4 linked regions of the Arabidopsis thaliana genome follow. The protein of the gene in region 1 interacts with the protein of each later gene in a pairwise test. Each region holds a gene or a part of one and is shown in the gene's direction. Other genes may lie near its edges. The genes, in order: MYB73, PTAC6, AT3G12830 and ckl4.

The links.
Region 2: the proteins of MYB73 (region 1) and PTAC6 interact in binary tests that used the Arabidopsis thaliana proteins (3 or more experiments, as listed by UniProt).
Region 3: the proteins of MYB73 (region 1) and AT3G12830 interact in binary tests that used the Arabidopsis thaliana proteins (3 or more experiments, as listed by UniProt).
Region 4: the proteins of MYB73 (region 1) and ckl4 interact in binary tests that used the Arabidopsis thaliana proteins (3 or more experiments, as listed by UniProt).

The regions. Positions count from the first base shown.
Region 1 is NC_003075.7:17,537,402-17,544,824, forward strand, and holds MYB73 (myb domain protein 73), read left to right. Parts: upstream 1-3,088; 5' UTR 3,089-3,200; coding exon 3,201-4,163; 3' UTR 4,164-4,398; downstream 4,399-7,423. Other genes in the region: HMA1 (heavy metal atpase 1), read right to left, coding at 4,586-4,750, 4,839-4,925, 5,009-5,196, 5,281-5,497, 5,645-5,809, 5,962-6,067, 6,486-6,724, 7,087-7,199 and 1 more. UniProt on the Arabidopsis thaliana protein: Transcription factor that functions in salt stress response. Acts as a negative regulator of NHX7/SOS1 and CBL4/SOS3 induction in response to salt stress. In response to auxin, activates the transcription of the auxin-responsive gene IAA19.
Region 2 is NC_003070.9:7,568,284-7,577,388, reverse strand, and holds PTAC6 (plastid transcriptionally active 6), read left to right. Parts: upstream 1-3,542; 5' UTR 3,543-3,606; coding exon 3,607-4,092; intron 4,093-4,192; coding exon 4,193-4,261; intron 4,262-4,808; coding exon 4,809-4,913; intron 4,914-5,147; coding exon 5,148-5,267; intron 5,268-5,557; coding exon 5,558-5,647; intron 5,648-5,758; coding exon 5,759-5,875; 3' UTR 5,876-5,993; exon of another isoform or gene 5,994-6,367; 3' UTR 6,368-6,544; downstream 6,545-9,105. Other genes in the region: AT1G21610 (wound-responsive family protein), read right to left, coding at 43-168, 354-440, 525-637, 723-804, 1,009-1,350, 1,432-1,558, 1,954-2,030, 2,104-2,196 and 2 more; AT1G21590 (kinase with adenine nucleotide alpha hydrolases-like domain-containing protein), read left to right, coding at 7,695-7,845, 7,932-8,029, 8,108-8,357, 8,458-9,105. UniProt on the Arabidopsis thaliana protein: Essential protein involved in plastid gene expression and in chloroplast biogenesis.
Region 3 is NC_003074.8:4,076,992-4,084,085, reverse strand, and holds AT3G12830 (SAUR-like auxin-responsive protein family), read left to right. Parts: upstream 1-4,458; 5' UTR 4,459-4,570; coding exon 4,571-4,969; 3' UTR 4,970-5,435; downstream 5,436-7,094. Other genes in the region: AT3G12835 (uncharacterized protein), read left to right, coding at 717-821; AT3G12833 (uncharacterized protein), read right to left, coding at 665-847, 940-957. UniProt on the Arabidopsis thaliana protein: Provide a mechanistic link between auxin and plasma membrane H(+)-ATPases (PM H(+)-ATPases, e.g.
Region 4 is NC_003075.7:14,242,624-14,252,311, forward strand, and holds ckl4 (casein kinase I-like 4), read left to right. Parts: upstream 1-3,636; 5' UTR 3,637-3,735; coding exon 3,736-3,811; intron 3,812-3,889; coding exon 3,890-3,930; intron 3,931-4,108; coding exon 4,109-4,178; intron 4,179-4,263; coding exon 4,264-4,412; intron 4,413-4,532; coding exon 4,533-4,699; intron 4,700-4,821; coding exon 4,822-4,883; intron 4,884-4,960; coding exon 4,961-5,024; intron 5,025-5,162; coding exon 5,163-5,247; intron 5,248-5,325; coding exon 5,326-5,452; intron 5,453-5,547; coding exon 5,548-5,624; intron 5,625-5,797; coding exon 5,798-5,855; intron 5,856-6,039; coding exon 6,040-6,167; coding exon of another isoform or gene 6,168-6,200; exon of another isoform or gene 6,201-6,433; coding exon 6,434-6,574; 3' UTR 6,575-7,249; downstream 7,250-9,688. Other genes in the region: XTH26 (xyloglucan endotransglucosylase/hydrolase 26), read left to right, coding at 1,713-1,884, 2,010-2,110, 2,233-2,426, 2,747-3,158; AT4G28870 (mutator transposase MUDRA protein), read left to right, coding at 7,798-8,097; ckl3 (casein kinase I-like 3), read left to right, coding at 8,728-8,803, 8,900-8,940, 9,143-9,212, 9,302-9,450, 9,554-9,649.

The DNA.
Region 1 (7,423 bases):
GGTTAAAAATGACTTCTGAACCGTTGGTTGGTTACATAATCCATTAATAGAAACAAAAATAAGGACAATGCATTTAATATATTATTCGAATACAATTCTTCGCTTACTTAAAAACATACATATAGTTGACTACGATTTATTCCACTCAGACAATACGACCCTCCAATATTTAAGTTTTATTTTCTCACATATTTTGAAAAACACCAAAATATATTTTTGTTCTCTTTAATTTCCTTCAAAAAGCTAAGTGTATAACTCAAAAAAATAAAAAAGTCAAAAGTCAAATTTGTGTTTTTTACAAATGATAAAAATTCTAAATTTCTTAACTAAACACTAAACCAAAGTATTTTTAGTTTTCCAAACACAAGTTATAAAGGAGTTAAGAATGGTAAATTACTAATTAGTGAAGAATATATAAAAAAGGGTGGGTGGGTGACCGGCAGGTGGGAGAGTGGCCGTTAAAGGGAGGCAGAGATTTACAGCCTGTTTTTGTTTTTTTTATAATATCAGAAAATTAAAGTGGTAACGATCAGCCTTCCGATCTATCCTTGTCGTTTTGCGCCACGTGAGCAACTGTCTCTTTTTGGCCTATCTTTTTCTTTTTGTTTTGCTTTTTTTCTTCTTTGCTTTTTAGAGTATTTCATTTTTGAGATCGGCAAAATATCCAAAACATAATAATGATAACAATTTTTCAAATAAATAAAAAAAATACTAATAATGGTATACAGGCTGGCTTCCTCAGTCAAAAAGTCACCGAATCGAACCAAAACCTCATACCTAACCGTTAACTTCATCCTTATCTTCTTCTTCTTGTTTTCCTTATTTCTTTTTGTTGGTGCTCTTTTTTCATTTTTCTATTATATCATACATTCTTTTACCATATTACTTCAATTATTGTTGGTTTACCTTCATAAGTTTAATATGTTTTAGTGCATACGATATCAACTGTTTTGCGCAAAGGGTTGAGTTTTTATATAAACTAAACGAAAACAAAATTTGGAGGGTACTGAAATTGTTCATTTTTCATTATCTTGGTGTAAATAATCTATGAATCTCATGTGTATATGCAAAGTCATATGAAGTGAACTTGGTTTAGATATTTGTTGTATTTTCAATTTTCATTTTTAATTATATCATACATTCTTTTACAATAATCTTCAATTATTGTTTACATCCCTAATTTTAATGCATAAGATATAAATTGTTTTGAGCATTAGGGTTTAGTTTTTTTATAAACTATATGAAAACAAAATTTGGAGGGTATTTAAGTTATTCATTTTCATTATTTTGTGTAATTAATCTATGAACTTCGTGTGTATATATGCAAAGTTGCATGAAGTGGAACTTGGTTTTAGATATTTATGAATATCTAGATATTTGTTGTATTTCAGTTTGTTAGGTTTTGTTCTCTCTTTCTGCCAATTACACACACTTTTGTTTTACAAAGAACATAAATAAAAGTTACATATATATCCTGAAAAGTTTGCTTCACTGTATATATATCATCATCCTACACGCGCTTCACCGGCGTTTACCCTTTCAATTTCTGGTTAACTAAGTTGAACCGGATTAGTAATTCTTCGGTTTAGTTGTTCTTCTATACGACAATTTATCACTTGACAAATATAAACGATCTATTACTTGCAACATTCATATTTAATCTAGTATCTTACACGTACATATTTGTTAGAAATTCAATGACCAAACATTGCAAAACTATTACATTCACTTGTTGCATGTAAGCTAGAAGCCTAGAACTCGCTGTCAACGACTACAATGTCTACATTATTTTCACCGACACAATTTACATCTTAACCAAAATTTGGATATTGGACCAATCGTTCGTTTATATAATAACCACACGTATCAATCAACACACAGAAGACAATGACATGTAACAAACAGTGTAAAATATTGAAAATAACTTATCAAAAAACTTTAGTTCATAACACAAAAACTTTCGGCTATTTTTTATTGACTTCTATGTAGTCTTTTTGTTGCACTTACTATTTTTAAAAGCAATATGTATGTTTCCAGCAGATTCTTAGTTTTTACAAAATTTTGCCTTTAATATTTTTTTTGATATACATTGCCATTCTTGATTTCATTTTCTTCTACAATAGTATCAAAATTTTACAAAATAAAACTTCAAAAAACATACGAAAAAGTTAACAAATATTCAAAAAGAGAATGATTTTAAAAAGGATATAAATATAGAGAGAATAAAACGTAGAAGTTAACGATTTTTTTTTGTGAGTGTCACTTTAGATGGAAAATGAAATGATTGGGTAAAAACGCTCCACCTGTAAAACAGAGAGTGGAAGAAACGCTCCTGTGTACGAGCGTACTCTCTCTTCAAAAGAAAACAAATCTCTCAAAAAAAAGAAAGAACAATTGAAAAAAAAAAAGCAAATCTCAAACTCAAAGTACATATACTTACTTGACACGTGTTAATATACAGCTGTATCCCAAGTCCCCAACCGTTTTTCCTGGAAGATTCTCTGCTCTCCACGCTCGATGTTAACCTCACACAAACGCTTATCTCCCAAAACGCCTTTTCCAATCGCCAACGTGTTTTATTTTTGGTTTAAAATAAATATCTGTTCCAATCATACAAACACGTAAATGTTGTCAATTTTTTTATACCCAAACGTTAACGAGGTTTGTACGTAGCCCATTTATGGACACATAATTATGAACATATAAACAATGGTTAATCATACGTTTAAATTAATTAAATTCACCAATATTTTTTTGACTGAATGAGTCAAAATTGTTTAACGAGTAACGACCATAATTATCAGTTTTTATTTTTTATTGTTTGAACTACCATAGTTATCCGTTTAACACTGAGCAAATCTCTTTATTAATAGAGAAAACGGTTTTATTTGTTTCCTTCTATAAAATTTGTTTTTAATAATACGTTAGATATTTTTATGCAGTTAAGGATAATATTACACTGTAAAGTTTAACTAGTTTAATATCGTTTCTGTTAAATCGATAAGAAAAAATTACCGGTTGAACCGGTGACCCTTTTGCCCACTCCTTTCTCGTATAAATACTCTCTCTTCTTGCTCTTATCCTCTTCAACCAAAAAGCTTTTCTTCCCAACACACACAAAAAAAAAAACTGTAACGACCAAAAAAAAAGAGGACGCGTTAGAAGAAAAAAAAAGAACAATCCGATAAAAAGATCCGGCGATGTCAAACCCGACCCGTAAGAATATGGAGAGGATTAAAGGTCCATGGAGTCCAGAAGAAGATGATCTGTTGCAGAGGCTTGTTCAGAAACATGGTCCGAGGAACTGGTCTTTGATTAGCAAATCAATCCCTGGACGTTCCGGCAAATCTTGTCGTCTCCGGTGGTGTAACCAGCTATCTCCGGAGGTAGAGCACCGTGCTTTTTCGCAGGAAGAAGACGAGACGATTATTCGAGCTCACGCTCGGTTTGGTAACAAGTGGGCTACGATCTCTCGTCTTCTCAATGGACGAACCGATAACGCTATCAAGAATCATTGGAACTCGACGCTGAAGCGAAAATGCAGCGTCGAAGGGCAAAGTTGTGATTTTGGTGGTAATGGAGGGTATGATGGTAATTTAGGAGAAGAGCAACCGTTGAAACGTACGGCGAGTGGTGGTGGTGGTGTCTCGACTGGCTTGTATATGAGTCCCGGAAGTCCATCGGGATCTGACGTCAGCGAGCAATCTAGTGGTGGTGCACACGTGTTTAAACCAACGGTTAGATCTGAGGTTACAGCGTCATCGTCTGGTGAAGATCCTCCAACTTATCTTAGTTTGTCTCTTCCTTGGACTGACGAGACGGTTCGAGTCAACGAGCCGGTTCAACTTAACCAGAATACGGTTATGGACGGTGGTTATACGGCGGAGCTGTTTCCGGTTAGAAAGGAAGAGCAAGTGGAAGTAGAAGAAGAAGAAGCGAAGGGGATATCTGGTGGATTCGGTGGTGAGTTCATGACGGTGGTTCAGGAGATGATAAGGACGGAGGTGAGGAGTTACATGGCGGATTTACAGCGAGGAAACGTCGGTGGTAGTAGTTCTGGCGGCGGAGGTGGCGGTTCGTGTATGCCACAAAGTGTAAACAGCCGTCGTGTTGGGTTTAGAGAGTTTATAGTGAACCAAATCGGAATTGGGAAGATGGAGTAGAGTGATAAGAACAAGTTTTCCCTCTGTTTCTCGGGAAAATAAAAGTTTCAGGCTTTTCATGTATAGAGCCAGTAGTAGAGACGACGAAAGGAGGAAGCGAAATCAAAAAATGTTTTGTTATCATCATCATATGATCTTCTTTCGTGATTCAATTAAAAGCAAAGCAAGATCATTTATTAACAATTTACACAAACTTGAAGAAGAAAAGTCAAAAACACTTCTCAAACTTTTATTCTATGGGTTTGTTACGAGGAAACAAACATAAACTAAAAGTAGTAAATATAATCTCACGTGACATAATATATGACCTGAAGAAACCAGTCGAAACGAAACATATATACGATTTTGATGTTTCATAAGCGATCATACAATTCACAGTGTCTTGCTTTTGCAGAATTAGACAAAGAACAGCAAGTTACCCCCTAATGTGCAGAGCTTAAACTGTTGCTGCTGCTACTGGTTGGTTCTTGTGAGCGTAACTTGTTGATTAGATGAACTATGTCTTGTTTCCACGACCATGATGGATCGTTTAGACCACGTACTGAGTTTAGACACACCAGAAGAGTCCCGCCTTCATGTAGAAGTACCTATGATCACAAAAATGCAGGTTAGCGGTTTTGTCTCTCGGGTAAATGATGGATAACAAAAGCTTGTAGTGGGTATTAGCTTACGTACCGTCAACCACAATGGGACAAACCCTAAAACTGAAGGAAGAGCGGCCAAGAATATCGATGTTAATGCAAGAGCTACGTTTTGCTTGACCTGCAACATGATACATTCTTGTTAAATCAGGCAATCTAACATCTGAAACTGGTTAAGAACAAAGACTTTTATGTTTTATCTACCAATGATGTTGTCTGGCGGGATTTAGCGACACAGAACGGAACACCGGTGATGTTGTCTCGAAGCAGTAAGATGTCAGCAACGGCAATCGCAGTGGCACTCGCTCGTTGAGCAAGAACAATCCCCACTGTTGCAGCTGCTAGAGCTGGAGCATCATTAATCCCTTCTCCTACCATAATTAAACCTCCACCTAGCAAAAATCACAACTCTAAATTCTCAGTCTCTTGATAGATGTTTTTGATTGGGAACTATGGCGAGAGTAATGAATGATCACCTGCTTCCCGAGCAATGTTCTTTACATGATTTAACTTATCCTCTGGCTTTAGGTTGCAGTAGACTTCGGTAATACCCACTGCGTTTGCAACTCTCCAAGCACTTGAATCATGGTCCCCAGTTAACATCATTACTCGGAGTCTGGCCCAGCTTTTAAGTTCTGCTATAACTCCTGACACCCCTGGACGAGGCTGATCTTCGAGGTGAATCAATGTTACCTGACAAAATTTAGTTGCAAGGCTCATAAATTTCAGTGTTACAGAGGTTTTTATGGACTAATAAATGGTCAGATGAGAGATGAAAATCACAGACTGTGAAGTAGGAAAGAGGTTTTTAGACCAGCTAAAGAAGTAGTCGTAGTATACCTTTTGATCAACAGAAAGAGCAGCATGAACGAAGTCCTTTCCGTACGAAGACGCGTTTACAGCATCCTTGATCTGTTTAGATTCATCTTCAGATTTGAAAAGTGAGGTAATGAACTCTATAGAACCAAGTGATGCTTTTCGTAATCTACTCTCTTCAGCTACTGTCTATTACAAAACCAAAAAATGTGGTGAGAGACAACATCATATATATTAAGAATGAAAGCCAGAGATGTACACACATCACCCACAGCTATACACTATAAAATCTGGTAGATAAATGGATATATATAAGAATCTAGTAAATAACTGAGTCTCACCTTAACACCGTTGACAGTAGCAGTAAGGCCTCTACCAGGAAAATATTCGAAGCTTTCAACAAAAATAGAAGGAAGATCCTTACCCACACTGTGATCTACAACAGCTCTGCAGCAAGATGAAATGTGTCAGAAACAGCAGAAAAGACCTATAGTACTCTTCAGTCTCAATCTCTTACCAGACCAAGCATCATTTAAACTAATAAACCAGTGTAAAAACCAGTGTAAAAACCAGAGATAGAGAGCTTCATAGCGTTCAAATTTGCTTTTTCCCCTTCCTTTCATCCGATTGTGGTAATGAACTAGAAATAAGAATAAGTTCTAGATGTAGGACTAAAATTCTTTACGTCAACATATCTCCTGAAATGAATGTACCATCCAACAAGATAACTTATTTCCCATGAGTTATAGACGCGCCACAGTACTAACTATGTGATGATGGGATGCACATAGGTCACAACTTGCATGGTTTTAGAGTTTGTGGTAATTAAGTTTTATACTAGTAATTGATGCTAAACAAGCAATACCTTCCAATAGGATGCGTGGTGCCCTTCTCCATGGCAGCCGCAACTGCAAGAGCTTCTTTTTCACAATTTGGAATGCAGCAAGTTATTACACTTGAATTAGTTCCTCCTTGGTGCCCATAAATGGGTTCAATTGCTTTACAAGTAAGGCCGCCGGTTGTTAAGGTACCAGTTTTGTCAAAAGCAATAGTATGGCAAGACGCAAGAGCATCTAGAACCTGTGCACCTTTCAGCAATATTCCCTATAATAGTTACACACGGTGGGGTTACACACTTACACGTGAAGATACTACCTTTACATAGCAAAAAAAAAGGAAAAAGAAAATAAACCATGTTTTCAACTGGATTTGGACAAAAGGAAAATGATATCAAATAGTTAGTTGAAATATGGTGGTCTTCATAGATAAGACGATGTTGTTGCATATGCACCATTCATTCCTCACCATTGACATTTGATGCACATAAGATTATTTAGCTTATAAAGCTTAATTTGCTACAAGAGAACATATACAAACCAATGCTCAAAAGTGCAATTCTGCAAAACATCACAACGCCAAGAAAGCTAACATACACTTGGTGATCACGTAGAGTACTTGAACAATACCTTTCTTGCACAGGAACTAATAGCAGTAGCATAAGCCAATGGAGCTACGGCCAGAGCACATGGTGATGCGGCCACCATAAGTCCCAATGCTCTGTAAACAGATCCTCTACATGCTGCATCATTAACAAGCAATGAAAGTAAGCCAATCAATTTTCCACTCTTATCAATTGTCCAAATGGTGATATATCTTATTAAACAACAAGAATAGTTTGTCACATCAACAATGATTTATGGTAATGTTAAGAAGGGAGAACTTGATCCTGACATCTTACCTGCGGTGCTGAGAAAAGGCCACTTGAACAAAAATGGACCTAGGAAGGCAATTGCAAGTGACAAA
Region 2 (9,105 bases), on another chromosome or scaffold:
ATCAAGCAACTTAAGATTAGAACAGAGAGAGAGAGAGAGAACCTGTGATTCCATCAAAGAAACTTTGGCCTTTATCATATCAAGAACTTCATTGTTGATTTGCTTGAACCTAGTATCCTTTTCTCGGGTTGCAGAATCTCCCATATCAATCATGATTTTCAAGTTCCTCTGCAAAATAAGCATTACAAAGAGTAAGAAACCATATTTTGTTTGCTTGTACCTGAAACAGAAGAGTTTTTCACTGGAACATGAATGTCCTGAAGAAGACTAACTATTTAAACACCTTGACGAAAGTCCTAACAAGTCTGCTTTAGTAACAGAAAGACTAGGATACAGGAGACAGAAAATTTTACCTTAAGAGACCTAAGCTGGATTAGGTGACCAACAATGCTCATAAGACGGTTGATTAACTCTGTTGAATGTTTTCCCTGGCTTGCCTGCTGCCACAAAAGGCATATTAGTTTTTTCTCATACCGTTTCAAGTTTCAAAAAAATGAGAAGAACAAATGGAAAAGCTCTAGTACCGCAATCCTAGCAACTTTAGCAAGTTTCAATTTAACATCCCTGGGCAATCTTCTCTTCACTGCCTGGGATGAGGTATCAGCTTCTTGATTTTCAGTGATAGCAGGAGGCCTTGCTGCTTATAAATCATAAATTCTTGTAAGTTGAAAATCACCAAATGCTATTCTAGTTGGTCACACTTGAAAAATATTAAAACTCACATTCCACAACCACCTTCTCCAGTTCCCTTATGGCTTTCTCGAGGATTGAGGTTTTAGACTTCACATTAGAACCATCTTTTTTCTGAGTAGAGACAGGTTATTGCAGAATTATAAAGCAAGACTGATGTAAACTTTGTGGTAAGAAAAATGCATGGAAGCAAAGATTGACCAGAAAAATATCACAGAACCGAGATGAAAACTGGAGAAACAAAACTACGACCTTAGAATGCAACCAACTTACTGAGTGTATTTTATGTAATTGTAGACACAGTTGGAATGTACTTACAGACGCTTGACTAGATTGTCTGCTTCCCGTTACATTTGCCAGCTGATGCATACCATTGTTTTCTTTCTGACGGACTACTGTTACCTCTGCAAAGACATTGGGGGGAGATTTTCCTAGCAGGGACGTAGATTGTTGGTGTAAGCTTTTGTTGCTGTATTTCTGATGAAGGGCACTAGAGGATCCAGTTTCCCTTGACTTGTGACTTGTATCATTCCTAGACTGATGATTTGCTCTATCAGAATGCTTCACATCATCCAGAGGTACTGAAGTATTTGCATCTTGCGCTCCAGAAGGCAAAGGTGACTCCTGTGTTTTCCAGGACCCAGGAGCAGTTGATTGATCCTGGACTTCCCCATTCGTATAATCAGTTATCAGACTCAAACTCCGACATAAATTAGTATGATTTGCAATAAAAGATGTTACCTTTTTCCTAGCTGTTATAGACAACTTGGTGTGTTTATCGGATACGTCAACTGCATCACGACAGGGTTTTGCTGAATCTTTTCGTCGCCGTTTTTTGGGTTGCTGGTTAGATGTTGTTGAAGGTTCCCTATTGTGAAAATGAATCAGGGATTAGATAACTTGTAAATGAAATATAGCATGATTAGGCAAAATGAGAAAAACTCTATCCTATCGAAAGTGCAAAACCTACATCTATATGAACGTTTTTTAACCAGAAAAGTTGAAAAATGGACTTTACCCATACCAAACACCCTACAGACATTAGTTAAGGCAGTAGTAGCAAGACTGCCAACCATATTTTACCATTTGGAGAGACTACACATATCCAAATAGGAAGAAAAACTGAAAAGCAAGGTGATTTCATATGTTTATTTCAAAAACTTACGACATGCCTATTCTAAACATGATCTGAGTGATTGAAAAGTGACAAAGCCACCAAAGAGTTAAGAGACATCAGATAATGAAAAGAGGAAGATAACTCACATCCGCTCCAACTTGCCTCTATTTACATAAAATCCATCATGTTTAACTGTTGAATTATCAACTTCGAAATACTCATCCTGCAAGGAGTAGAGTAAAACAGAGATATGATTTCTCAGCTATCAAAAATATTTGAAAGATATCAACACCAACCAGTTCAGCATCATCTATAAATGAATCTTCAGTGTCATACTCATCATCATCAGGAGCACCGTCTAACTCTTCCCCATCACTGCTATCGTTCCCCTGAGATTTATTCTCTGAAGTAAGCATACACTTTTCAGAGATGTGTGAATGCAACAGTGCTATTGCATGGTATGCAAAAATGTTGTGAATGTGAAAAATCAAACATATAACAACCTACCAAGAAAAGTGTTTTAACAAAGAGTAGCATACCTTATAGAGCCTCTCTATCTTCTCAATAACAGCGTTGAAACGGTTAGAATGAGGTTGTTCATTCGTTTCAATCTCTACTGGATGCCCCTACATTATATACGAAAATACAGCTGTTGAAAATGATTTTAACCACCCATATTGTATGCATAAGAAGAATATATTGTGAGGAAGCTGCAAGCATATTATACCATCTTAAATGAAGATCCACTATTATATGCTTCATTCTCTTGCACTAATAGATATTAATAAAACTTTCTCTATATTCTTCACTATTACAGCTATAGTTTCCATTGCAACTATGTGAACCAAATTCCTTTCCAGATCAAGTATAATTGATGGCATATTCACATTGATAACGATGAAGTTAGCCTAATGTAGCTAGCAATTAGAAATGAAGCCAAAGATCATATATCAGGTTGTAGACTTTCTCCGTTTAAGGAGTTTGCTTATTGAACTCTAGTCACAGACGTCAGAGAGCAATAACAACAGAATTCCTCCTATACCATATCGATTTCAAGCATTTTCCCCAACAAATAAATCTGAAAATCTGCGAATTTAGTAAAGCTCCTTTATAAACCCTAACAAAGATTACAACTCCCCGAAACAAGACAAATGCTTACTCCAATAACAGCAAACGAAACCCACAAATGCCTACAAGTATATATATCCGATTACCAATTCCTACAACATCAAACTCACCGGTGCAATTCGAAACTCAAGGTTAGGGTTAGCATTAGGAGGCGGGTCGGGAACCGAAGCCGATAAACCATTGACCTTACCAGCATCCCTCATAAGCTTCTTCCACGAAACATACGTCGTATCCCCTGGCCGAAGCTCCACCTTGAGTAATTTCCGATCACCGGCCGTTAAAACCTTCGGCGACGCTCTCAACAATTCGCCGCCAATAGAACCACCACTCATCTCATTAACTTCCGACATTAATAATTCGGGTCGGGTCGGGTCGGATCAGTTTGATCCACTATATACTAACCCCTGGGTTCGAGACGGATTGATCTAAACAGCAATCAAGAGAGTGGAATCGATGAATCGATGTAGAGAAACTGAAACTGAGAAGAAAAAGTTGCGCGGGATACCAAAAATGACGCTCTTAATTATTTCCTAATTTATTTTTGTTGTTTTATTCACTAAAAAGGATTATTATTATATTATATAGTTTTTCTTTTTTTTTTAATTGTATTTTTCCTCGAAATATCTAATCCACAGATAGATAGAACACTCTGTGAGCTTTATCCGCTTCCAATGGCGTCTTCCGCCGCTTCTCCTTCCTTATCTCTACTCTCATTCACCTCGAAGCCACCTTATCCCTCCGGCTCTCAGCGGCTATTTGCGTCATTCAGAACGGACGGTCTTTTCGCGCCTTTAACACTGAAATCCCGACGCGGCCGTGGTATAGTCGTTAAAGTAGATGACGTCGATGCTGATGGAGGTGGAGCGGACGAGTATGATATGGATGATGAGGAGGTAGAGGAAGTTGACAACAAGAAGGACTATGATGTCGAGTATGACCCCTTGGCCGCCGCGATAGCCGCTGCAGGCGGTGGTGGTGATGGAGATATCGCTTTTGTTCAGAGTAAGAGTTTTATATCGACACAAGGATGGGATTCGGATATGGTGGTTGATTATCGGATAAACGAAGATGAGTTTCATAAACTCAGCTTAATGGACTGTGATTTCTTTATCAGAAAACCTCCTGATCCAGATAATGATGTTTATGATTTCAGAGAGGTGTGTGAATTCCCAGTGACTCTAATTGCTCATTTCTTCGATTTCTCTAGAGTCTGTGCTCATTCTTCAATTGTAAATTGTTTTGTGTGGGTGGCTGCAGATGTATGTTACTCCTCCGGATACAGATATTTACTCAATTCCGAGAGTTCTTGCACCGATGCCTCAAAAGGTCAGTCATTTATCCTTATCGGTTGCTGTTTTTGTAATGCCTATGCGTTGTTCTGAGACTTCCTTTTGTTCAGCAAGATAATTGCTTTTCATATTGTGCTTAATTGCTAATTGAACCCATATACCTCCACTCTACCTAGTAATTGTATCACTTAAGAAATCTTATCTGCACAGAGCTCTACCTAGTAATTGTATAACCCATATACCTTCACTCTACCTAGTAATTGTATAACTTAAGAAATCTTATCTACACAGAGCTGTACACGTTTGGTATTGTTTGGAACTTCTACTCACACTGATAGACTGGAATTTTGAACATATAATCTCAAAAAGTGCCGTAAATGGTCAGCATTTAGTATGATTAGAGAGTCAGAATGTAGCAGCTGGGTGTTTGTTTAGTCACTTTCCTTTCATTCTGTGGCCAGTTTTGTACTCTTTGCTGCTTCATGATTGCGTATGTTTTACATTGTAAGGTTTATTTATAAGCAAGTTGTTACAATGAGTGAGTGGTGCTAACAAGGGCTTGTTTAATGATGTTACAAGTACAGTATATTCGATGTGCAATGAGTGACTATGGATGTTACAATGTCACTGAACCACCTATTGATGCCCCCAGAGATCCACTGTACAAATCTGAGAGGGAGATATCCAAGGTACATATTGGACCATGTACATTGATGTTAAATCCATTAGGTCTTTGATGCAGGGAGTCTTGAGCAACATGTATTAACAAGGATGTACTTAGTTTTGATTTGACAACATTTTTGGAAACCACACCAGGAAATATGTTTTTTAAGCATTAAGGATGAGATCAACACGAAACTACTTAGTTTAGTAGTTACAGTTTCTGATACAAATTGTCTTCATCGTGTTTATTTTTTATGCAGGTTTTCTTGACAAAACATTACCGGAACAGAAGGACAAACGATCCAGAATTTGTGCTAGATCTTGAAGAGATATATGTTATTGATTCCAAGACAAAGTCAATCACCAGAGCCAGAGTTCTGGTATGACTAATTCTTATCTTCCAAGTTATTTAAGCATTATTAACAAAGTTCTCATTCCGAGTCTGAGCACAAACCTCAACCGTAGACCATAGCCAATTGGGTTTTTTGACATATTCTTATAGAATATTTTTCATGCTATAACACTAATGAAATGCTGGTTTATATTAGTGCTATTTATGCCTCTAGTTCTGAATCAGATATCTTGAGTTATGAGTTCTTTAAATACTGTGCATAGCTCAAAGCTATGAAGACAATCTTCTTTCCGATGTTAAGGTTTTAGATTGTTTCAGGTGACAGTTCCGGGAGGAAGAAAAAGGGATAGGAAGGATGACTTGCTTGTGATACGAGATAATGGAACCTCCTTTAAGATCATACACGTGGTACCTTTCCATTTCCAAATGACCAAATCCATTTCATCTGGCAGTCATTTGTATTCCTTCATCTAGCTTTACTCATCTTCACTCTATGTCTATATATTTCCATTCTTTCAGGGTGAAAGAGATGACCCAACAACGGTAATAGAAAGAGAAGAGTGGACCAAGACTAGAGAAGACATGGAGAAACATCTCAGGAAGCTACGAGACTTCAGTGTCTCAAATTGGTTCTAGAAGAACTCGAGAGACACCAAACGACAAGTCAGCATAACTTTCTTCCTGAGATGGAAAACGAGAGCAGATGATCTAAATCGATGATATGGTGGAGGGTATACAATTTTGGTGACCTCAGGTACTGCACTAGCAGCAGAGATGGATGTGTTATTAGATGAATATGGGCCTCTAGAAAAAAGTGTGTAGATGCAATAGTTTGATGGACTAACATTCAATGACTAGAGAAGCTAGCTTATTTGCAAGTTTTGAGGTGTTTAATTCAAGTTTTCAATTGATGATTATGATGGCTTGTATTATTCTTGTGATGAGATATTTTCATATTCAAGATTGGAACAAAGTGTTTGTATTTGAGAAATTGGGATGGTGTTGACTGTTGTTGAGTGGACTAGTTAGAACTTGTAGCCGGCGTGTCGTTTTAGTTATACGAAGCTACTAAAAACGACAGGTAGTCTGTTATTCTAAACTTTTTGATGTAATTAATGATGACATCAGGAAAAGACACGTGTACGGTATCATGTTCGGTCGATTGGATTTTCACGTGAGTGGGATTACAAATGTCAAAGTCGCCGACAGAGCAGTCATGTTGTGTGGTTGGTTCCATTGGCCCATTCTGTGACCACCGAACATTAACTTCCCTATTCAGTTTTTTAATACAAATATCTTTATTTATTGCCACACTTGAAAAATTACATGAATCACTTAGAATGACACGTAAAACAAAATAAATGCACCAACAGTTCGGTGATATGGAATTCGTTAGGTATATAAGAAATTAAGAATAGTTGTAAAACACGATTGTGTTCAATATTATGGAATGAAAATTGCGATAGAATGGTCAGAACGATCGATTTGACATATGCCAAACCAACAAGGTAGAGAAGGAAATGATCAAATCTTAAAACAATTCAATTGAGTCGAAGAAACAAAAACATGTGCACGATAAAATGAATTGCACGATAAAATAAAGAAGATTGACGTGAGAAAGAATAGTCAAATGGAATAAAAATAACGATAAGGTATGTGCATCAACCGTTGAATTTGTAAGTAAGTATGGTTTTGGTGGGCTACATTTCTAATAAGCATCTTTGATTTGTCAATCTACCTATTAAAATACATACACAATGGACAAGGAATGATTCATATAAAAACAAAGGAATAAAATCACATAATTATGATAATTTGTTATCTCATTGCCGGAACCTCATTTATGGTACTTTTATACATGGCACAACATTCTATTAATCGATAACGGTGGACCATATTCCCCGTATTTAATACGTAGATTTCTTCTTCTACTGTTTGGTATGGTACCAATCTCTTAAGTTAATTATGTAACATAAATTCAGATAAAAGAAAATGTTTGTGTTGCATATATTTTTTTTTTGTATAAAATAATCTACAATAGGGAATAAATAAAGTTAATTTCATGAATGTATCTGAAATATTTTTAAATTAATTAAAATGAGCAAAAAAAAGAAAAGATATATCTATATATATTTTTTATAATTTGTTATTTGTTAGGTTGATAATTAATGAGAGAGTGTACTGTGAAGACTAAATATTAAATTATGTATTTTATTTATCTAAATGGCAACGAAATGAAAATTCTCATATGTCTGCTCCTCCATTCTTACTCTTCTCTCTTTCTCAGAAGCTGCAAAACCAGAGAGTGAGAGAGAATAGAGATTCACTTTTGTGAGCGTTGCGATGATTTTGTGCCTCGTGGAATCATCACACTACAACGTATTCACCTGAAATTCAGACAAAACAGTTTGAGGAAACTGGGAAGTGATAAGATAAGAGAGTGATAGAGAGAGAGATGACGGAAAACGGCGTCGTTACAGGAGGAGGCCATACTGTTATGGTGGGCGTAAAGTTCGATGAGTCGAGCAATGAGCTACTTGATTGGGCTTTGGTTAAGGTTGCTGAACCGGGTGATACTGTAATCGCTCTTCATGTACTCGGCAATGGTAACACTTTTTTGTTTCTCTGTATTAAAGCTACGATTTTTGGAAATGGGTTTCCATGTTTACTCTCTCTTATTGGATTTGTGTAGAGATCGTTGACCGAGCAGACAACTCTTCTCTCGTCTCCATTGTTAAAAACTTTGATTCTGTTCTTGAAGTTTATGAAGGTTTCTGCAAATTGAAACAGGTATGCTTATTAAAGTGGAAAACTTTCATGCTCTATTCTCTCTGCTCTAGCTGATGATGGTTGAATTGCTTTTAATAGTTGGAATTGAAGCTAAAATTATCCCGGGGTTCTTCTACTCGAAAGATTCTAGTTAAAGAAGCAAAAATGTGTTCTGCGTCCAAAGTTGTAGTTGGGATCTCCAGACGTTTCCATACAATTCATTCATCTGTCTCCGTGGCTAAGTACTTAGCTAGGAAAGTAGCAAAAGATTGCTGGGTTCTGGCTGTTGACAATGGAAAAGTCATGTTTCAGAAAGATGGTTCCTCATCGATCATTCATCACTCTAAAGGTTTGGCCTTTCTCTATAAGTTTCTTTTGTATGTGATGATTTCTGTGTCTGTATTAGGGTTTTGAACTCTTCTTCTTTCTTGGGCATTGGTTTGTAATAGGTAAAAGTGATGCTCGTAGGAACACTTTGTCTAGTTTCTTTCAGATGCCTGTCACATTGAGAAAGAATACCAAAGTAGTAAACCATTCTGAGGTGGAAGAGGAAGAGGCAGAGGAAGATCATTCCAATGGTCAGAGTCTTCGGCGGTCTTTAGTGTATGCATGCCTTGGGAATTGCTCGGTTCGTGATATGAATTCCTTGCCTACGCCTGGAAATTTATCTCGATCGTCTAGCTGTAATGGTGATCAAGATGATAATGCTGATTTGCACAAGGCAATGGCACTTGTTCCTGCAAAATTTCCAGAAGATTTGACCCCATTCATTACAATGCTGGTAAAAGAACTGCCTGAATTTAGACCAGGTTGGCCTTTGCTTTGTCGTGTAGCTTCTTCAGATGTATTAGCTTCTGCTCCGAGAAGTTCTTCGTTCCGAAAGATACCAGTTGTGCAGTGGGTGCTGAAGCTGCCCGCTAGGACCAATTCTGTTGTTGGAAGCTCAGACACAAAGCAGATTGGTTTTGATTCTTCTGAATCTGAAGAAAATGATAAGTTGTCTAGCTCAAACGTTGAAAGGCAAGCAATTGTTCCTGATGAATCTATGATCGTGAAATGTTCTCTTGATCATAGCTCAGGTAGATTTCCAGAGAATG
Region 3 (7,094 bases), on another chromosome or scaffold:
AAAGAGGTGGGAGTGGGTAGGTTACCCTGTACGACTGCACCGTACGGACTTTTTTAATTCAATCCATTTATTTTATATTTATTAATTTCCCCAAAACTTCTTTCACGTGACTACACATTACACACATTCCACTTTTTATTATCTTACTTTTTATTTTTAATCCAATGTTCCATGAATTATGACTATACGATTAGCAAATTCTAAAACTAGCCGCAGTTACTTTTAGTATTGTTTTTAATTTTTTAAGCAAATAATAAGGGGCTATTACTGTTTTAGGCACAATTTGGGCTACAAATTGGAGATAAGGTACAATCGAAATGGGCTTATGATATTGGACACTTCCTACAAGCTTGAAAGACGATTTTGCCCTCGAGAGAAGAAGCTGTGTTTCAGCGTAACAGAGAACATCAAAAGCAAATAAACATTAACGAGAAGATGATTTTAGGTGAGGATGAAAATGTAAAATCTAAACCCTAAGATCTGAAAACAGGGAACCCAAGGGAAAAGTGAGATCGAGGTCACTCATATATTGAGGTAAGCATTAACAAAAATATATACCATAAGGATTGTAATTAGGGAACCCAAACAATTAGGGAACAGAGAGCAAATCTGAAAGGAGAAGAGAGGACCGGAGGTAAGATGGGGAAGTGAGAAAATGTGGAATTCAACAATCAGAGGGAGAGATAACAGGGTAAGGAGATTTTAAAAGATGAAACATGAAAGGGAGATGGTTGGCTCCGTCAATGGCAGCGGCGGAGCAGAAGGCGTTCCACGGAGGTGGTGGTTGCGACGGCGAGAAAATCTTCTGCGGTAGCAAATAATGGCCAAGTTGTTGAAGCATCTTCAACTATTGAGGAGAAAAATAAATAAAAGAGAAATCAAATAATTGAGTGTAAGCTGAAAGGGGTGAGATTGTAAAATACGATCACGTATAATTACCTGTTTTTGGTAGTACATTGAAATGTTCCTAAAATCACAAAAGGATACACTTTAAAGTGTTAATCCCATAATTGATCCCAAATAATAAATATATTTAATACTTTTTTAATTAATAACATTTAATTATATAATTTTTTATTAATTGAATCAGTTATAGTAAATGATATTTTTATATAAAAGCGATAAATTAAATGAGATTTTTGTAATTTTTTAATATATGTGTAAAACTTTAAATTACAACTTATATAAAACTAAAACAGAGAGAGCACTAAGTAGTTGCATTTGAAAAGAGCAAATGTTAATGTATATGGAAGCGGTGACATACTTTATCTTCATATTTATTAAATGATGCAATAGCGCGTAACGCGTTACAGCTAAACCCAATCAGAGTGAAGTTTCAAGCTATTGACGTGTTTCTCAATGATTGAAGTGTAATGGCTCTTAATAACCTTTGCCGTTGGAGGAATATTCTCTTCTCTATCTGTGTTTTTTTGCATAATAGTTTAATATTTGCATATGTTTTTTTATATATATTGCTGTTTATGTTTCATTATTTGATATTCCTTGAATTCTATTACTTCATTATTATAATCAAATATCAATGACTAACGACCATTAGAATTGTAACCGATTCTTTGCATGATTTTTATATGTATTGCAACACGCAGAAATTAGGTGTTTTAGATATTGATTCTAGCAAGCCTTCAAATAAATAAAGGTGTGGATTTTATACTATGGATAAGGGTAATATATAGTTACTAAATACTTCATAAGTCGTTTCCGATTGGAATGTGTATATGTTTATGATCATTTGAGTGACACGGTTCCTTTTATCCAAATTTGTATAATGAGTGAGGATATTGAAAATTGCCGACTACGTGAGGGTTGAACACTTCCAATTCCACAAGAAATCAATAAAATCATAAATGTGTTTTGAATCATATAAGAGAGGAGTTCCACGGAAATTTGAGAAAATGAGTCGTAAGGGAATTAACCACTTGAGAGTTCGTTACAATTTTGTAAACACTCCATCCCCACCTTAACTAGTTGCTTCTTTAAGTTGCTTGTATTGTTTCCTTTTAAATCAATTATGTAACAAATCACACTAGTTTATGGATTAGCTAGTATCTAATAAATATCATCGAGTTGATATTCTAGTTATGGTAAAACTTGAGACCAAGTAGGAATTCAAAATTACTAAATTGGATGAAACCTACAAAAGATGCATGGCAGTATATAATAACATAGATGGCTATTAGTACGAGACCACTTTATTTTGATTAATCCATATATGAATATAGTTATATATATATGTATGTATACATAATTAATAAAGTTAAGAGGCTAAAGGGGACTAAAGTTGTAACCCCCAAGATAAGTTAGGGGGCAGACACTTTCGAAAACCAGAGAAAATTAGGTCACATCATCATATCTTTGTCTTTAAAGTTTAACCTTTACAGAATGAAGAATGATCCTTCAACAGTTCTGCTTTACTTTTTCTTTCTCTATCTAACCCACACATGCTGATGGTCCTTCATGATATCTACGCGCTGTATATTACAATTTCACGCGCCATTTTTTTCAAAGAAATTATAAAATGGGAAAAGATGTATATAATCAAGTCACAAAACTGAATGTGTATTAATAGATTTGGGCAATATCAATTTATAAAGTCACCTGATCATAAACCTATGATTAATTTGTCATGATTCATGGCTTGAGTGCATTTTGCATAGTCGGATGCTTCTTCTAGAGGTCACAACTTACAAGTAATCTTTTTGTTTTGTGGCAAAGACAAGTAATCTATTATCAACATTAATAGGTATAGCGAATCGTCACTTATGAAGTTTGATTCAATCGAGCATGCAGCTATATATTTTGTAGTATATGAATTAATTATATCACTTATATCCTTGAATGGCTTGTGTTTATATTGTCATGATGGTGATAGATTTTTATGTTTACACAATGAAAACGAAAATTTGTTAAAATTTAATAAGTTTTTTTTGGCTATTTTTTTAATTAGTTATGATCTAAAATAATAGACAGTACAGTGATTAATCTTTGAAAAATATATTACATAATGGAAACTTACAAGTAACTTACATCTTATTTTAGTTTTCAATGATGGTTACGTGAGGATATGAATATGACCAGAAGAAAGCTAAATGAATATTGAAGTCTTTTAAGTCGTTGAGGGTGAGTATGGACTATTTGAATAATCTATACGTACTGGTTCAAAAAGAATTCATAATATTTACACAAATGGTTCATATCTAATCACTTGGTCCAAATTCTAGAAGCCTTTTATGTCATTTTCTTGGGGTCAACAGAAGTTGAAGCTCCACATTTTGTTTTGTAATATTTCCATCCAGAATATTTAGTTTGTATAATTGTATTTGATTTATGAAATTTAAAATCCAGCCTATATAGTAGACTTTGTAACCAGATTCTGAAGGCATCATTTATTCCTATGGGGATTTAAGACTTAGGCCATATGATAGATCACATATTCAATAAAAACCATGAACATTGTTACGAGTATGAAACCATATATTTAAATGGCTATATACGCTATCTTACAATATAAATTTGTATGCAATTAACTATTTCCATATACAAAATTAACTAACTTTTCCACACTTCATCCATATTTAATTTCTAGCTTATTATTTAATATATTGAAAATATAATTATTAACGAGGGGATCTTTTGATAAAAAAAAACGAGGGGATCTATCTTTCTCTACACCTTATATTTTGAGTAGGATTAAAGAAAGAAATGTAAAAATTGGATATGTAAAAATTTTCCAAAGTGGAATTGGATATCCAGTCTTAGTTGAAGTAGGATAATAGATGATTAGATGAAATGATATTAACTACATGTACATGATATAGGATTACAAAGTATATGGATTAATCTAAACAAAGATATATAACCCTTTTTTTTAATTTGCTTGAATGAAAATTGTATTTTGAACATTATATTGGCCTCTTGTAAATTATAATCAGTTTACCATGAATAATGTTATTATTTTCCTGATAACTACTTGTAATTAATTTTACAACATCATTAAGATATATTTTGGGTTGCTCATGAACCTCGTGTATCTATTACTAACAAGAAAAAAACTATATCTAATCTTTCAATAAATTGGTAGAATAACCAAGGTAAATTAATTGCTATTTTAATTCCAATTATGATCAGAAAATACAATAATATCATTATACTCAAAAAAGATTATGATAATGCGGGGATATATATTGTTAATGGAAATCCAAACAGTTATCTAAGAGAATAAAAAAATCTTAAAAAAATAATCAAAGATTTACATCAAATGAATATGATATTTTATCATATTATATATTTTTAGGATTTTATATATTTTTCAAAGTCAGTGGAAAATTACGAGTAAGTGTGTGTACCTGGCAAGTACTCCTTCCCCGTACCTACTTTATCAAATACACATTCCCCAAAATACCCTCGACTCAATATAAAATCCAAAACCTTCCCTCACTCTCTCCTTCACAAAATTCTCATTGATTCTCTCTCGAATTCTCAAACATCCGTTTTCAGTACCAATCACCAAAAGTTTCTCTCTTCTCTCTCTCAAAGTCACAACACGAAGACGATGAAGCAACTAATCCGTCGTCTCTCTCGCGTCGCTGATTCCGCTCAATACAGTCTCCTCCGTTCCGATTCACAGCGACCTAGCCGCCGTTCCGAATCCTTCCTCCGTTCTTCGGTGACTCGCCGCTCAAAGAAGCAAACCTCCTCTGTTCCCGAAGGACACGTACCGGTCTACGTAGGTGACGAGATGGAGAGGTTCGTCGTTAGCGCGGAGCTACTTAACCATCCGGTTTTCATCGGTTTACTAAACCGATCTGCTCAAGAGTATGGTTACGAGCAAAAAGGAGTTCTACAAATCCCTTGCCATGTCCTTGTCTTCGAACGAATCATGGAATCGCTTCGTCTTGGACTTCCGGTACCGATTGATGTTCAGGATCTAATCGGTGACGGGACTATTTGAAGAAGAAGCTTTTATTGGAAGGAATCTTGGTAGTTAGAGAAGTTTTTTTTTCTTCTAGATCTGGTTGTTTTTGTTCAGATACTACTGAGTCATCATACTTCGTCGTCGTGTCGATGTAAATAGGTATATAATTTTTCCAGGATCCAAAAGTGGAAGAGGAGACGCATTTAGGGATTTTCTTTCTCTTTGTTGTTTGCAAATTTTCTAATTTTTTCGCCGGTTTTAAAAATCGGTTTGAAATTCTTGTGAAGTTTTTTTATATGGAAAATTTGCATCAGTTTGGATCTCTTTAATTTCTGGGTTTATTTGACATGATTACAGTTTTTTTTGTTCAAGTTAAACAAAAAGAGGATTTTGATGTTTCACCGAGATTATCGGCAGGGTAAATCCGTCAATGCGATACATCAAGGGGATATGATAAACTGTAATCTGTGGCCGTTACTATAATATTTTTAACCCGATACTCAAGTAGTTATCTGTTACCTTTAGCTTCTCTAGAAGAGAGTATATCTTTTGGTAAGTAATGCCAAAGATTCATAATAAAATATAGAAAAAAATAATTGAAATTCATAAAAAAAAAACTAGTGAAACCATGTGGGTTTGCATCTGTAGTTACATTCTTTCAGATCCAAAACACAAGCTTGATTCCAAGCCCAATACAGTATTATATAGACCACAAATATTGAAACTAACATTTGTTTCTGGCGTTCCAGTGTCTATCTAACCATAATTGAATGAGCTATGAATTCGGTTAACATGGTGAATCTTCAGCTAGTAGACAAATGAGTTGGTTTTAAAAGGGCAAATACTAACACTTTTATCATTATATATGGGATCTCACTTTATTTGCACCGTTGGCACTTATCTAATTCACACATTACACATAATGGTTTAGACATATTTTTAGGTAACCTTCGTTTTATGTTTAATCAGCTTTACTTATATAGAAACACCACCACATGTTTATATATGCGACCCGAGTGAGCAACATGTGGAGGTTTAACTGTCCCACATCTATGGATTCTCAATGATAATATGTTTCCATATGTATAGTCTTCATAGTTTAATCACAAATTAATCATTAGTTGTGTGACCAATCTGAGGAAAGTTAATAATAGAGTTGGGAATTTTCGTCCATTTATATGATTTCCCATGTTGCATCACCTGCAGCACCACATGCCTACTTATATATTTGTAGCAATTCACAGTTAATCATTAGTTTTCCTGTTTCTTTTGTTTTGTTGTCAATTAATAAGACGACTGATCCGAATGCAACCATAAATTTTCAAAGTCGGTGTATACACATTTAGATATTAGATCTATAGTACGTATACTTATATATAATTAATGTAGTCAAAGTCATCGAGAGCCATGTAGATGGATGGATCTAAATACATATCTTAAGTTTCCTTAGAAAAAAAAATGAGTGAAAGAACTTTGATTATATATAGTTGGTTTGATGGAAACAAGTATTTTATTTTGTTTACTTTAGTTAATGTACATTAATTATGACGACTGTCCAAGTGTGAAATCGAGTTTTTCTTCATGACTAGAAAAAAAAATAGTCCTCCTTTCATTTATTCTTTTCATTATCATGTACACCTCTCAACAGGAAACATACATGTGTATGGTCAAGAACTATCATAAAAAAAGAGTCATTTGTTGTAAAGATTCTCTTGAAATGAGGTCCAAATGACAACTTTATAATATGTACTTTTATTTTATTAAGGAACATTCGTATATTGGAATTGCATGGAAATATAGTAGTAAGTATATATGAGTACTTAGGCAGCTCATTTCAAGTATGAATTCGATTGTTGCTTCGGAGGACACGGAATACCTCATGATTGATTCATTCTTTAAGCTCTATTCAATTTCTTTGGGATCACATTGTGATTATACTTATCATTGTTGTTCAATATATATGGTATTATACTATTTTGCTCCGTGGCACATAATAGAAGAAATGAAATAATATTTTAAACATCGTTAATGTTTTTTGGTAGAAAAATGCAGGAATCCCGACTATTCCACATATGAGTGAGCGACTCTTCTATCACATAAATCCACACGAATAACATTTGAAGTGTATGCCTAAAACGTTTTCAGATGAAAAGATCATGTA
Region 4 (9,688 bases), 3.3 Mb from region 1:
ATCAGATTTTGATATCAAGATGTTTCTATGGTCAATAGACCAGTCATAAAGTATTGTCCATGCATGACTCCATATATAGTACTAATTTGGAGTACAAAGAAATATCATTAATTAGAATCTGCATGACGGGAACGGCTAATACTAGATCGTAGTGTGGATATTCGTATAATACAAGAATAAAAAACTATATACGTAAAGGTTTCGATTGGTAACTCGGGGTTTTGGGTAATCGCGTCTGCTTACCTCACTTTTGTAAACTTTCTTATTGTCCATTTCATCGCCTCCTCTATTGAATATCCTTAATAGTTAGTTCTTTAAACTTCATGTAACGGCAAATACTTGTAAATAGAGCTGACCCTCTTATGTATACATTAAGAAAAAAACTAAGACAAAAGTTACTTTCGGATAAATAAAAAAGTAAGCCATATGCTTTTATATGATTATATGTTGTAAGAAGAGCCAACAATGTTACGACATCATCGATAAAATGATGTTGATTGATTGCCTTTGTGATTAAGATTAAATTTAATTGTCATGTAAGAATATAATAATTGGTTGGCCTCTTCGGTCTCTTTTGGATTGTGGTAAGCGATACAATAATTTTGACTGATGGTGATTGGTGGCGTTGATCTAATTATCACAAGGAATGAAAATGAAACTAAAGGTTTTGAATATATAATTATGATTTCTTAACAAGATTAACAAAAACGCGATCAACATGACCTTTTACTCATTATCAAACTTTTTCTCGTACAATGTTTGTCTATTTACCATTGATCCAGATTTATTGTGAATATAATATACAAGAATATTTCAACACCCACCGAAAGTTATTCTTGACTGATCACTGGATTTCCTTGCTTAAATCATTAAATAAAAAAACCTTAAAACACGTTTTAATGATGTCTTGCACTTTTAGAACGAACTTTATAAACTAATCTAAATGGAGAATCGTTGTTTACAATGTTTCACCACTTCATGAGTGTCCAATCTCTGTTATGTGAACGAAAACAAACCAAATTAAATATAATCTATCTAAAAGTAAAACCAAAATGTATCAAAATTTATTTTTTGGTTAAGCATGATTTATTAAATTTTTTTCATGAAATCCTAAAACAATGTAACGGATTTTTTTTATCTAAGCCCTATGCAGTATGCAACGAGACGAAAATACCTGATTAAAAATATGGAAATCGTAAGGAACAATAGAGTAATAAAACAGATTGATGACAAACGAAGTTACTATTGGTAAAATTTCTGATTTGGAAGAGGAGAAGTTGACAAGTTCATCGACCCCATTTATTTGTGGAGTCTTCCCCACGTATATTCCTCGGCCTCTACCACAACCGCGTGAGCCAGCTAACAGTGTCCATCTTCTTATATTTTAGTTTTTTTTTTTTTTTCTATCTAATATTTATTTATCAAACACATGTTGGTGATTGGAAACTAAGAAACATACATATTCATAGTACCTTTCCAGGATAGCATTTTCTTTATATTAAAGAAGTTAGTTCTTTAATTGTTATGTTGTCTAATTCATGCATACAAAGTTCATTAGATGCACGTCAATTGTCAAAACTCTATACTTTTTGGACTACGTCAAAATTTCGATTTCTTAGAAGTTATATATAAAGAAAGCCTTACTGACAAACAAATGGTGATCGAATAGAGTTCCAATCCAAAACATTCCAAACACAAATCAAATTCGTAAGATGGCGGGTCTTCAAGCGAAGACGTTAATGTTCGTTCTGGCAGCTGCCTTAGCGACTCTTGGTCGCACATTTGTGGAGGCAGACTTCAGTAAGAATTTTATTGTTACATGGGGTAAAGATCACATGTTCATGAATGGTACCAACCTTCGACTTGTCCTAGACAAATCTGCAGGTATATAGTAATCTTATAACACAATAACTTTAAAATCAGTCCATTTAATTTTAGTCTATTATTTCATGAGAAACTTGATAGATAAACATGTATAACTGTTTTTATGTTTTTGTTTGTTTTTGCAGGATCTGCTATTAAATCAAAGGTGGCTCATTTGTTTGGAAGCGTAGAAATGCTCATCAAACTTGTGCCAGGGAATTCTGCTGGAACCGTTGCAGCCTATTACGTAAAATTTTCTTTTGAACTCGATCGATAGAATTACAAAAAAAATAAAAAAAAATAGAATCAATACGCAATTCTTTTATATATAGAAAAATTAGATTAATGTTTTCAGATTTTTCTTTGTAGTTATCGTCTACGGGAAGTACACACGATGAGATAGACTTCGAGTTCCTAGGAAATGCGACTGGTCAGCCGTACACGATCCACACCAACTTATATGCTCAAGGGAAAGGAAACCGCGAACAACAATTCCGGCCATGGTTCAACCCGACCAATGGTTTCCACAACTATACCATCCATTGGAACCCATCCGAAGTTGTGTAAGTAATTAACTTATGGCTATGGCGGTTTCTTAAGTACTTTATAAAAACTCCAAACAAATGCTAAGAAATGGTACTTTCTATCAATGAAATACCACATCAAAAAAACTTAAGTAAGATTAAATGTTACTTAGATAGTTTAGTTTGTTACTGTAAAACAACATTAAAGTACAAACACTTCATGATGAATTTTTCTTTTAGTTCCTTAATGTTTTCGAACCTTCAAACCAAAAAAACTTTAGGAATCTCAAACGATTATATGTTTTTATTTCCTTTCTATAAATAAACGTGTCGCACACCATGTTGTATATCTTATATAGGTGGTTCGTCGATGGAACTCCGATCAGAGTTTTTAGAAACTACGAAAGTGAAGGAATCGCATACCCGAACAAGCAAGGTATGAAAGTGTTTGCGAGTCTATGGAACGCAGAAGACTGGGCAACACAAGGAGGTCGAGTGAAGACTAACTGGACGCTAGCACCATTTGTGGCCGAGGGTCGTAGGTACAAGGCAAGAGCTTGTTTGTGGAAGGGATCAGTCAGCATCAAGCAATGTGTAGATCCAACTATACGGTCTAATTGGTGGACATCACCATCATTTAGTCAGCTCACTGCTTCGCAGCTGACGAAGATGCAAAAGATAAGAGATGGTTTCATGATCTATGATTATTGCAAGGACACTAACAGATTTAAAGGTGTTATGCCTCCGGAATGCTCGAAGAAGCAATTCTAATTCAAGTTTCCGGCCAGCGGGCGGAACGAGGAGAGGCTCCGGCAATCATAGCACCGCGGTCGAGGTTAATGGGGACGGACTGTAAATTCGTTTTTCATTATTTTTTTTAATAATTTATTTTTCTGAATTGTTTTTGTGAGGATTTTTGTGTGTCTTTGATTCATTGATAACTCGAATGAGCAATCATGATGAAGAAGAAGAAGTTTTTTTTTTTCCATTTTTTCTTTGTTAAAATCCTATACAAAAAAAAACAAATTCAAAAGCTAAAACCCTAGTAAAAAGAGACAAAATCCAATACAAAATTATCCCCAAAATTATCCATATTTAGACACATTGCGTTGACTTTAGAACTAGTGGATTAGAAACTCCACCGGTCCTACGTGGCAACTAAATTTCAGTCCACGTCACCGACACACAAATTTTCTTAGCCTTACTATACCATACAATTTACGTTAATGCCCCTATTGTCTCATCTATTCGCAAATTTCAACTCTCAAATTCAACGAAGTAAAAAAGCCCTAAATTGATATCTCTATCCCTTGCGCATGATCCAGATTCGGTTGTGATCGGAGCTGCCATGGAACGTATCATCGGCGGCAAGTACAAGCTCGGACGGAAGATTGGCGGTGGTTCCTTTGGAGAGATTTTCCTAGGTGTGTTCTCGTTGATTCTCGAGTTTTGTTCTTCTTCTTTGGTTTGAAATTGACGTACCTTGTTTGTTGATTTCGCAGCTACGCACATCGATACCTTCGAGATTGTAGCTGTTAAGATCGTAAGTTTCAATTGAATCAGCTATTAAACGAATCTACTCTGGGAATTTTGTATCATGTTCATTGTTTCGTGTGGTTCTTTGAATTGATTAACTCTAAATTTATCAGTCAAGCTCCTTGAAATGGTACTTTTTAGCTGACAATTTGTCTTTAACTCAGATCATTTGGATTGTTTTGCAGGAGAACAGTAAAACAAAACATCCTCAGCTTCTCTATGAAGCTAAGCTATATAGAACTCTTGAAGGAGGAAGTATGTTTCTCATTCCTATCTTTTCCCATTCTGTCGTTGTTGGTCATTGGAGGGATTGATTATCAGTACAATGCTCATTTTGCAGGTGGAATTCCGCGCATAAGATGGTTTGGAGTTGATGGAACAGAGAATGCTTTAGTGATGGATTTGCTCGGTCCAAGTCTCGAAGATCTTTTCGTCTACTGTGGGAGAAAATTTTCACCAAAGACGGTCTTGATGTTGGCTGATCAAATGGTATGGCATGAGTTTTAATCACATTTATTGCGTCTGGTTCTGTTTAAATACTAATCATTTCTCTTGAGTTATACATTTATCATCTAATGTGCTTATGATTTTCTTATTCCGATTTTACAGCTAACTAGAATAGAATATGTACATTCCAAAGGATATCTGCATAGAGATATAAAACCAGATAACTTTCTCATGGGCCTAGGCCGCAAAGCGAATCAGGTTTATCTAATTGACTTTGGACTGGCCAAAAGATATCGTGATGCCAACACCAACCGCCACATCCCTTATAGGTATTTGTGGCCATGGTTCATTATATTGTGTCTACCATCTGGAGGTGGTAAATTATCTTATCTGTTATAAGTTTTTAAGGTCACATTATACAACTTATTACCTTTTATTTGGTTGTATTCAGGGAAAACAAGAATTTAACAGGAACTGCACGATATGCAAGTTGCAATACACATCTTGGTATTGGTAAGGAATGCTGCCACTTTTTTCTCCCCTTTGTGAAGTAAAGTTTTTGCTCACATATTTCGATTTCTCTTTCGCAGAGCAAGGTAGACGGGATGACCTAGAGTCTCTTGGATATGTGCTTCTGTACTTCTTAAGAGGAAGGTGTGTTGACTTTTTGACTTGAAAGAACCTAGTTAACATTGTGTTTTTGGCAGGGTATTGTTTTTCCTTGTTTGAGATTTACTTAACCGTTTTCTTGCTTTACATTTTGTTCCTATTTTAATGAACCTCCTTTTCTAGCCTTCCATGGCAGGGTCTTAAGGCTGTTGACAAGAAGCAAAAGTATGACAAAATTTGTGAGAAGAAGATATCAACTCCTATTGAGGTCTATTTCCCTCTACTGTGTGAGTGAATTGTTTTTTGTTAATCCTCATTCAACTGAATAATATCCCATCCTTTGTAGGTTCTATGCAAAAGCCACCCCGTGGAGTTTGCTTCATATTTTCATTATTGCCACACACTGACATTTGATCAACGCCCTGATTATGGATTCTTGAAGCGGCTTTTTCGTGATTTATTCTCACGGGAAGGTACTTTGAGAAAGACATCCCTCCATCATTTTTATAATCCTCTCTGCTAGCATCAGTTATCTACCTAGCTCACTTAAACGTTTTCTTCTTTGCAGGATATGAGTTTGACTATATATATGACTGGACTATTATAAAGTATCAGCAATCACAGAAAACTAGAAGTCAGTCTCAGGTATAGTTTATCAATACCATTTGTTATTTTTTTTTCTCCAGGTGTATGCATATTTTGTCTTGTTCATAGAGAAGATTTCCTGGGGAGAAGTTTTACTTGGTTTTGCTATTTTTTAGTTTTGGTGCTAAATATAGATATGCCTGTCTTCCTAACAATAAACTGTCATGCTGCAGGCCGTTCCTGGGTCTAGTAATGCTCGTGCAATACCAATGGACACAAGCAATCATCGAGGTCAGCTCGAGTTATAAATTTTAATTGTGTCACTTTCTGATTAATTTTGTAATAGTATATGATGTGTTTTTTGTTTTCTCTCGACTTTCACACTGGACTCAACTGGCATAGAGTGTTTGGCTGATTTAGTTTCCCGTTGCAACTGTTTATTTCAATATCTTGATGCTAACTCTCCGTTTGGCAGGAGGAACTAAGATTTCACATGAAGCCCAAGTCTCTGACCGTGTCAGACCGGCTAATGCCAGTGGTCCAAGCCCACAGATTAATACCGCTGTAGGGAGGAGTCTGGGTTTTGATCAAGTCCACAAGAATGTACGTGCTTATTCATTTGCCTCTTCCAAATAAATGTTGTATCCTGCAACCCTCCCCCTTGTGTTAGCATCTCATGCCTGCATCTGTGTTGCTTCAGAGTTCTGCATGGTTCTCTGCTTAAAGCTTTTACCTGTTTTGCATGGTCAATTGTCATCAACGAGCTCTATATTGTGATATGAACTACATATAGCATAAATGATTAAAACACGATACTGATCATCACGAAATATGCTCTTGACCATTATTTTACTGAAAACCCATTGCAGATGAACATGCCATCATCCACTTCATTATCTCCTGCGGGTACCTCAAAAAGAAATGTCAGACCCGAAACCTCAAATTCTGGGTTTGGGAGCGGGAATAAAACCGGCGGTTGGACTTCACCATTCATGTCACCGGGGAAATGATGCAAAAAAAGTTGGAGTATATCATTCATCTGATCTGCTGAGCAAGATTATGTGTGCCTTTGGGTCTAAACTGTGATTTCTGCAGTGAAAAGCTCTAGACTGAGGTTGAAGATCTGAATGGAGTTTTTCCATGAACAGCTTACTGTTTGACAAAAGGCATGAAGATTATGTTTGCTTTCCTTCAAGATTCTCACAAATGACTGACTTCAACCTTTGTATAAAATCTTGCAACCGGGCGTGTAATTTGGTTCTTGTGATTCATTCTCCCAAGTTTTCTTCTATAAAACTTTGTTCGTATTTCTGTACGTAGTTCCCTGTGTTGGGGCATAACCTGGGTTTGCTGTGTCATCAACATTGTTTGCAGAAAATCAAGAGCAAAGCATGAGCAGCTTCAGCAGAGATGCCTTCAAAGGCTTGAGTCAAGAGTTGCTTGTGGCAGGGACATGTCACCATCAAGCTAATGTGCAGCTGACGAGAACGTAAAAGGATAAGCTATGGCTAGCTTCTGGAATGCTCCGAGAAACACTTCCCCCTTTTTTTTTCTCTGAATTTCCTATTCAGTTTAATGGTATTCTGTGTTTGATTTTTCTTACTCGATTTTGTGCATTGAAAAAAATTATATCAAAAAGCTTGACTTGATCCAAACATGCATTTTCAATTGCTATTATTAAAAAAAAAAAACGTATAAAATTGTAGTCTCAATATTGAAATACAAACACCTAGAATTGATCGATTTGGTAGAGAACTAGTTAGTGGATTAAATTTGGGTTGGCTGATTTTCGAGCCATAAACTATTTCGATTCTCAGCTTTCACACCCGGACTTTTGGGCCTTTAAATTTCCACCATCAACTTTCATATTCCCAAAATTACATCATCTATTTTTGGATTCATGCTTAAACATACATTTCCAATTGAACCATTCATTTAACCGGGATTAACCACAAATCCGCGTTTACTGTACCGCGATTGCGATTAACCCAACTAATACCCAGACCCGTTAAGAAAACGACGTCGTTTTCATTTCGTTTAACTCATCAAAAAGAGAAAGAAAACGACGTCGTTTTCATTCTTCTTCTTTAACTCTCAAATCGATTTAGTCGTTCTTCTTTAATCTCGACACTGTGAAATTAGGGTTCTTGAGAGAGAAAGACAAAAGGGGATTTGGGGTTTTCTTCTTCGGTTCGAATTTTTGGGTCTCGATTTGGGTTTCGAATAGGGAGAAATGAAGAATTGGTGGGAGGAAAGATTGATTTACCAAAGCGATCCAGATGACCCCGATTTCGAACCTCCAGAGAGTGACATTGAAGCCGACGATGGAAGTGATAGTGGTGATAGCGGAGTCGAGGAGGACGAAGCCACCAGAATCGAGGGAGAGGACGTCGGGATAGATGGAGACAGAGCTTCTGATGGAGAGGAAAATAGAGAAGACGATGGTGACATAGCGTCTGATGGAGACGTCAATCTAGAAGACGATGGAGACAGAGATGAAAGTCAAAAGAAGAGGACTACCAAATCGATTTGAGAGTTAAAGAAGAAGAATGAAAACGACGTCGTTTTCTTAACGGGTCTGGGTATTAGTCGGGTTAATCACAATCGCGGTACAGTAAACGCGGATTTGTGGTTAATCCCGGTTAAATGAATGGTTCAATTGAAAATGTATGTTTAATCATGAATTCGAAAGTAGATGATGTAATTTTGAGGAATATGAAAATTGATGGTGGAAATTTAAGGGCCCAAAAATCCGGGAGTGAAAACTAAGAATCGAAATAGTTTATGACTCGAAAATCAGCCAACCCATTAAATTTTCGAACCTTCATCATTTTGCAGACCCCAAAAACGGAAATCATCAAATCATCCACCGTGCCAGCGTGACATTACAAAATCACGTAAATACCCTCGTGTTTGTTTATAAGGTAAAAAAAGATTGGCGGACCCAAAATGGTGCAGTAGTTAGGTGTACAAATTTTTTTTTGAAGGATCACTACTACGGCTCAAACAAGCCTGGGTCCATGTCACTACCACCGATGTCAGTCAAACAAAAATAATAATATATGTTTTTAAGTTCCTCTAATTTCAATCTTCTAAACAACAACCCTAAATCCTTATCTCTATCCTTGCGCTTGATCCAGATTCGGTTCTGATTGGAGCTGCCATGGAACGCATCATCGGCGGCAAGTACAAGCTCGGACGGAAGATCGGCGGTGGTTCGTTCGGAGAGATTTTTCTAGGTTTTGTGTTCTCCTCTGTTCTTGTCCCTTTGGTTTTCCGAGTTTGCTTTTTTATTTGAAATTGACGCTCTTCTCTTCTGTTTGTTGTTTTCGCAGCTACGCACGTCGATACCTTCGAGATCGTAGCTGTTAAGATCGTAAGTCCCAGCTCAATTTGCCTTGAGACGAATTGAATCCATCCAATCTGGAGATTTGATTTGGATCTGCTATGTCTCTTAATTGATTTTGTTTGAATTGCTTTACTCTAAAATTGAGCAAGGTTTTAAACTCGGTGCTTTTTAGCTGCAATATATTCTTCAAGCTAACACTTGTTTTTAATTCAATCATTTTCTCTTGCAGGAGAACAGTAAAACAAAGCATCCTCAACTTCTCTATGAAGCTAAGCTATATAGAATTCTTGAAGGAGGAAGTATGATTCTCTTTCCTCTCTTTTCTCAGTTGTTGGACATTGGAGGGATTCATTAGCAGTACAATACTAATTTTTATGTTATGTGTCAGGTGGAATTCCGCGCATAAAATGGTTTGGAGTTGATGGAACAGAGAATGCTTTAGTGATGGATTTGCTCGGTCCAAGTCTCGAAGATCTTTTCGTCTACTGTGGGAGGAAATTCTCACCAAAGACAGTCTTGATGTTGGCTGATCAAATGGTATGGCATGACTTTCAACTATTCATTAGGCTATTTATAATATCTGTTGACTTATACATTGATTATCTAATGTGCTTCCGATTTTCTTATCCCGCTGTTACAGCTAACAAGAATAGAATTTGTACATTCGAAAGGATATCTGCATAGAGATATTAAACCCGATAACTTCCTCATGGGCCTAGGTCGGAAAGCAAATCAGGTATATTTCTGCAACTTCTTATCTTCATCAGATGCCATA